Sus scrofa: one gene and its partner. The protein of the gene in region 1 interacts with the protein of each later gene in a pairwise test. Links are inferred from orthologs where the notes say so. Each region holds a gene or a part of one and is shown in the gene's direction. Other genes may lie near its edges.

Region 1 (3,814 bases):
CTAATCATTAGAAAATGATAATGCATTCTACTTTAGTGCTTATCATTAACTGTCTATGAAACAGTGGAAATGAAATGATACAGATTACAGAATACTCTCTGAGTATTCTGTAATGACCTCCATCTAACCAATATGGTCAGCATGAGGAAACTTTCTCAAATGTAAGGAAAGTTGGCTTTCTTCCTTCCTTGGGAATAAAGAACGATGCTCACCATTGTCCCATCCCAGCAGATGTCCCCACGAAGGGGTATGTTTGTATGGTACACGCAACCCAATAAATTCTTTGGAGCATGGATGTAGCACAAGAGAAGCGAGCAAAAATTTCCCAAGCCCTTGACGCCTAAGGGGAAAAGCAGCAGAGAAGGAAAGAGAGGGGATGACAGGTTGACATGGCCGGTTCACATGCCTCTTACATGTACCCTGCCCTTGCAATCCTTACCCAGCTGTCCTCACACACTCAGCTGTGTCACCAAAGCAAACAGCAAACCAAATGTCAACCACCACTCATTACAACTGGCTGAAGGCAGGACAAAAATATCTTAAAATGGAAAATTTTTGACTTTCTCCTCTGCAGGTTGGCATATAGATACCCTCTTACTCCGAAATCCTTTTACTTTACTCTGATATCCTTTTATAAATAAAGCTTGACTTTGGTTATTTCACAGGAATGTTCCAGCTGGTTTTTAAAGGGAGACAGTGATGCTCTTATTTCTCTCAAGTCTTCCCCGTGTGTTATTAGGCTAGTGATTTATAATTCTGGTTTTGAAATATTCTCTAATACCTCCGGTTATCTCAGAAGATGCCATAAAGTTTTCAAAAAGTCTGCCAAGAAAAATGTGGAAACATCTCTAGAGGGCTGTTAAAATAATCCCTCTATTTTTCTCTTTCTAGAATCACACCATGCCAAACTACAAACTCACTTATTTTAATATGAGGGGGAGAGCAGAAATTATTCGTTATATATTTGCATATTTGGACATAAAGTATGAAGACCACAGAATAGAACAAGCTGATTGGCCCCAAATCAAGCCAAGTAAGTAGCATAAAAATAGTGCATGGAAATGCATGTAGGTAAAATGTTTCCAGAACCTTTTGTCTTCCTCAGGAAAAAGAAAAATGTTTTCAAATCTCATGTAGCTTTACATTGAGAAGCATCAGTTCAGATGAGTTAAATAAATGCTATGTGACTCAGGAAACGTCCTATTTGAGGTGAAAACTCAAACCTGACAGAAGGAGCATCTAAAAATTACCCAACACGAAGCTCTCTATCAGAAGAGCTGAAATGGAGAGATACTGAGGTCAAACTTTTGACCACTGGAATTAGATGGGCTTGCTCAGATATCAATAACGTTTGTACAATGGATCTGATAAGCTGCTCTAACAGAAAACGAAGCTCCAATGGCTTAAATAACAAAGAAATGAGTTGTATCACATAACTGGAAATCTGGAAGTAGGCCAGGTTTCAACCGCTGACTTTATCCATTTTTCCTCCTCTGTGTGTTGACTGCACCATGCAGCCAGTAGCAATATGTTGCTGCAACCCCTCCTTACAGCGTGGAGCAGCAATACGGAGCGGCTATAAGAGAAAGCACTGCATACCTAAGTGCTGCCAGAGGAATGAGGAGAAACTTTCCCAGAAGACCTCAGCAAACCGCTCGTGTCTCACTGGCTCAAGTTGGGTCATGTGTTCATTTCTGAGCCAATCTTGCAAGGAGGTGGCAAGAACCTTAGGACATCGAATCCAAGTCTGAAGCCGAGGATGGAAGGAATTTTCATGAAGCTTATGAGTGGGTGAGAGAGGGATGGATACCTTGAACAAAACTAGGGTCTGTTTGAAACTGGGGTCTATTTGATCAGAGAAAAAAACAAATTTACAGTTAGGCAGGAGCCCAGTGAAAACATGCTACGGAGTTCCCATCGTGGAGCAGTGGTTAACGAATCCCACTAGGAACCATGAGGTTGCGGGTTCGGTCCCTGCCCTTGCTCTGTGGGTTAACGATCCGGCGTTGGCCGCGAGCTGTGGTGTAGGTTGCAGAGGCGGCTCGGACCCCGCGTTGCTGTGGCTCTGGCGTAGGCCGGTAGCAACAGGTGCAATTGGACCCCTAGCCTGGGAACCTCCATATGCCCCGGGAGCGGCCCAAGAAATAGCAGAAAGACAAAAAAAAAAAAAAAAAAAAAAAGCTACTTAGCACACAGGACAATAAGGAAGAATTGAGGAATATTATACAGTAGGGAGTTCCATTGTGACTCAGTGTAAGGAACCCGACTAGTATCCATGAGGATGTGGATTTGCTCCCTGGCCCTGCTCAGTGGATTAAGGATTGATGTTGCCGTGAACTGTGGTGTAGGTTGCAGACTCTGCTCAGATCTGGTGGTGTTGTGGTGTAGACCAGCAGCTGCAACTCTGATTCAGCCCCTCGCCTGGGAACCTCCATATGCCACGAGTGTGGCCCTAACAAGAAAAAAAGGGGGACAGCTGAGGGAGTTCCTCTGTGGCGCAGTGGGTTAAGGACCCGGCATTGTCACTGCTGTGGCTTGGGTTCAATCCCTGTTCAATCTCTGGCCCAGGAACTTCACGCACTCTGGGATCTGCCAAAAAAAAAAAAAAAAAAAAAAAAAGAAAGAAAAAGAAAAAAAGCACTTAAAAAAAAAAAGGAAAAAGAAGTATTATTCACAAAACAAACACCTGTAAGTTGTAAGTCATCTTCTAGATGCTTGCCATGTTACCTAGAGATGCTAAATGTTATGTCTAAAGTTATTTTTATGACTAGATTATTAAAAATTCACATAAAGATGAGGTTGAAGGAAACTATCGAGTACGTGTAGAGTGACAGCACTTGGAGATACTCTGGAGACCCCGTTTCATTTAATTTTTCTAGCATATCTATGTGGGATGTATTGTTTCTATTGTGTAGCCGGGATAACTGAAGCACACAGTTTAGGTAATTTTCCCGGGTTCACAGCCCTAGCAAGGTTCAGCTAATTTTTCCACCCAGGTCCATTTGATGCTGTGGTTCAAACTGTTTGCATTAGATAATGCCAACAACGATAATTATTTTAACAATAAATATTGCCTCATGACTTTGGGAATCGTGAATTCGTTAAAAGTCATCACCCTTAACTACTCTTTATCTTATCAGAGAACTCCTCTCTGATGGGATATAATATCTTATTTCCTGTTCTTCTGAAACTTTCCTATTAATATCTAAGCATTTCTTCTGATACCAGAATGTGTACATGAGCTTTTCAATTCTGTGAACCAAAAGTAGGTGAATATTAATTTTATCCATTAATTAAGATAGGTAGCAAGCTGTGAAGATAGTACATATAATGAATTCTGCCTTTTATATTTTTAGATAAAAGTTCTTTGAATTCCTCATACCCTACTGTATTGTTATTAAAATGCAATTACTGTATTTTCTTAATATTTTCATAGATTCTTGGAGTTGAAAGGGATCTTAAGGTTAGTGATGATTAAAATAGCTGTTAAATGTTTTAGCAGACACCCAACACAAAAATGGCTGAAAGAGGATATAAATTTATTTATTTTTTTTTTTGCAGAAAAGCCCAGGTCAGTATCCCAGTTCTGTTCCATGAAGTTCTCAAAGATGAGGTTCCTTCTTTTCTGTTCCTCTGTCACCCATAGTGCGTTCTTATTTACACAATGTAACCACTTCACTCTCCTTCCATATTCTAGCTCCCAGGAAGCATAAAAGAGAAAAAGAACACCTTTCTTCCTTTTAATAGCATAAACATAAAGTTTCACACATCACTTCTGCTTATATTCTTTTGGAAATAATTTAGTCACAGGTCA
Region 2 (3,308 bases), on another chromosome or scaffold:
GTGGTGTCTGCATTGATAGACCAGGAAGCTGAGGAAGCTGAGGCCGAGGGAGGTGAAGCCACTTGCCCCAGGCCACAGACCTCTGGGTTGGGAAGGAGTCCCAGGCTCCCATGATCTACCTCAGCCGGCTGACCCCCAGGCCTGGCCCCGAGCACAGGAGAGAGCCATTGTCTGAGCTCTGGGCCTTCCCAGCCTAGAGATGTATCCTGCTTTTGTTTGCAGAGCCTTTGTTTGTTGTATTTCCTCCGCCTGGGCTCCTGTCTGTGGACATGAGGCCTGGCACTGGGAGCCTGCTCCAGGGTCCCTCTGATCAGCAGTCTGTCCTCACCTCGACTGAGCTGCGTCACCCGGGGGTGGCAGATGAAGAGGGACCTTGGGGGTGATAGGGCTTCTCTGAGCCTGGAGCATGGCCTTTGCTGGGGAGAGCTGGGTGGCCTGGAGGTCTGATGGCCCAGCACAGCCTGCAGGCATTGGTGCCTGATGATGAGGAAAGCTAGCAGAAGGGGTTGCTGGGGAGGTCTTGGTGCCCTAAGGAGGGCAGGCTGGGCCCAAGGTCTGTGGTGGCAGGCGGAGCCTTCAGAGACTGCACTGTGGGGAAGCTGAGGGCTTGGGACATGTTCTGCCTTCCCAGTGGTACCCCAGGGACCCCACATCTTTCTGTTCCTCTGCAGGTTCTCCCTCTGCACAACATGGACACACGAGGCTGCGAGGCTCCTGAGGGCTCAGCTTGGACCGCAATGGGGCTGGGCTGCAGCCTCCTAACGGGGCTCTTGTCTGGGGCGGTGGCTGGGGGGTGCCCTGCCCCCTGCCCTTGTCTCCAAGCACCCTCTCCCGTCCCCCACCGGGTGAGGCCTGCCCCAGGGCCTGGTGCCCACCATGAATGGCCTGTCAGTGACCGAGCTCTGCTGCCTCTTTTGCTGCCCGCCCTGTCCTGGCCGCATTGCTGCCAAGCTCGCCTTCCTGCCTCCGGAGCCCACCTATTCGCTGATGCCTGAGCCGGAACCTGGACCCGGCGGGGCTGGGGCCGCCCCCTCGGGGACCCTGCGGGCCTCAGCTGGCACCCCTGGGCGCTGGAAGCTCCACCTGATGGAGCGCGCTGACTTCCAGTACAGCCAGCGTGAGCTGGACACCATCGAGGTCTTCCTGACCAAGAGCAGCCGCGGCAACCGCATCTCCTGCATGTACGTGCGCTGCGTGCCAGGCGCCAGGTGAGATCCAGGCCCGGGATATGCTCCGTCCTCAGGGATCTCCTTTTGGCTGGTGCCCTGCTAGGACCAGAGCTTGCATGAGCCCATCTGGCGGAGTGGATGCCCCCAGGATTTTTCTTGCTCAAGGGGCAGTGGATGAGATCCGCCCCTGGCCACCAAGGAACTGCCACAGGCAGCCTGTCTTGGGATGAAAAGACCCCATAGCAAAGTGGCTTCTAGTGGCTGAGTCATGCCATTTGCTCACCATAGAGCCTCCTGCTTCCGGGTTTCAGTCTTTACCTGCCCAGGGATGGTCTCCAGGGCTCTTGGTCCCCATTGAGGCCTCAGCACCTGCTTTGAGGCTGGGGCACCTGTAGCCTGGCTGGCAGCTTGGGCCAAGTCTGACTCCCTGTTCCTACTGTGGGGCAGAGGTGGGGGCTTCCAGGTGCTTCTGCCCTCAAACCAGCCGGGTTCTGGCTCTGGATTGAGTCCAAAGGGCAGGCTTTTACCTTTCGGCTGGACTGGGCTGGGCTCGGCTGGGTGGGGGCCAGTGGCACCAGAGGAGGAAGACTCTGGAAGTGTCCATCGGCTAGGACCAGCCTGGTTACCTGCCCTGGGCATGCGGGCCTTGCAGGGCTGCCTTGGGCCCCAAGGCAGAAATGAGGGCGTGGTCATTCTCTAGGAGGGGAGCTTCAGCCCTCTGAACAGGGCTTGGCCTCACTTGTGGGCAGTCCTGGTGACAGAAAGCTGCTGTCTTGTGCAGCAGACATAGGTGCCCGCCCTCCTCAGGGCTGTCAGAGTCCCTTCGAAAGGAATGATTCCAGAGGAGAGGCAGCTGCTGCCCAGGGGCATAGGCATCTTAGCTGTGATGGGCACTGTGGCTTCCTGAGCTCGTGCTGGCGCTCCACCTGTGCTGAGAACCTGACTAGGTCCTTGTGGTTTCTTTCACGGGCTGAAGCCTGATGCCCTTCTGTCTCTCCTGGTGGGTACCTCTTCCCCCGCCCCTGCTCCCTTGCCCCCTGACCTGTGCTTCCACCGCCCACCCGCAGATATACGGTTCTCTTCTCGCATGGCAATGCAGTGGACCTGGGCCAGATGAGCAGCTTCTACATCGGCCTGGGCACGCGCATCAACTGCAACATCTTCTCCTATGATTACTCCGGCTACGGCGTCAGCTCTGGCAAGCCCTCGGAGAAGAACCTCTACGCCGACATTGATGCTGCCTGGCAGGCCCTGCGTACCAGGTGAGCATGGCACCGCGGGGGGCGGGGGGGAAAGCAGCACGGCTCCTCACAGGTGATTGGACTGGGTGAAACTGGTGGTTTGAAGGTACCCATACTGGCACTGGGGCTGCCTTCCAGGGAGGGAGGAAGCCTGGGTCGGTGGCCCTGCAGGAGAGGGACCCTATCTGTGGCCACACTGGACCTCAGGGTGAGGCCTGACCTATGTTCCCCTGCATGGTGACAGGCGTGCTTGGTGTGCAGGGAGGCAGGCTGGCTGTCCTCTCACCTCCCTGGGGTTGGCCCCTCCTGGGAGCCTCTTGCCTGGGCAGGGGCATGGACAGGGCCTGGAGGCATCCCTCTGGGGGTGGAGGCTCTGCCTGGAGGGAGTGGTGTGCAGAGGACTTGGGCCCAGCGGTGGCGTGTGAAGGCTGTGTAAAAGGACTGGGAGGCCGAGGCTGAGGGAGCACTTGGGGTGCAGGGTGGGGCCAGGCCTCTGATTCAGGCTTCTGATTGTGGAACTTGGCCTTATCCTGAGGGTGGGGCTCCTCTGGGCCTGGAAGATTCTTTTAGGCAGCTCGTTACCCAGCGCAGCCCTGGTAGCTGGTGGGATTGTCAACTGGCAGAAGTTGGGTCCTCCCTGGGTATAGTGCAGTGTGGCCCTGCACCTATTCTGATCTGTAGGGAGATCACCTGACCCCCACTTCCCGGAGGTGGCACACACTGCCTGCTCGGCATAGCCCCATCTTGGCCTGCCTGGCTGACTTGGGCAACCAGCTCCTGCGGGGACCAGAGCCAGCCTGCCCTGGGGAGACGGGGCATGGTTGCTGTAGTGATGCACCAGGCAGTCCCTGTGGCAGGCCTTGAGAGCAGGGTCTCCTGGCACCGCCCTGACACTGGG

What was found.
Region 2: the proteins of HPGDS (region 1) and ABHD17A interact in binary tests that used the Homo sapiens proteins (3 or more experiments, as listed by UniProt). The two-hybrid records come from large-scale screens. The link is inferred for Sus scrofa from reciprocal best matches to the Homo sapiens genes HPGDS and ABHD17A.

The regions. Positions count from the first base shown.
Region 1 is NC_010450.4:125,382,167-125,385,980, forward strand, and holds part of HPGDS (hematopoietic prostaglandin D synthase), read left to right. Parts: intron 1-891; coding exon 892-1,033; intron 1,034-3,814. UniProt on the Homo sapiens protein: Bifunctional enzyme which catalyzes both the conversion of PGH2 to PGD2, a prostaglandin involved in smooth muscle contraction/relaxation and a potent inhibitor of platelet aggregation, and the conjugation of glutathione with a wide range of aryl halides and organic isothiocyanates.
Region 2 is NC_010444.4:76,660,906-76,664,213, forward strand, and holds part of ABHD17A (protein ABHD17A), read left to right. Parts: intron 1-671; 5' UTR 672-876; coding exon 877-1,208; intron 1,209-2,236; coding exon 2,237-2,431; intron 2,432-3,308. UniProt on the Homo sapiens protein: Hydrolyzes fatty acids from S-acylated cysteine residues in proteins. Has depalmitoylating activity towards NRAS. Has depalmitoylating activity towards DLG4/PSD95. May have depalmitoylating activity towards MAP6.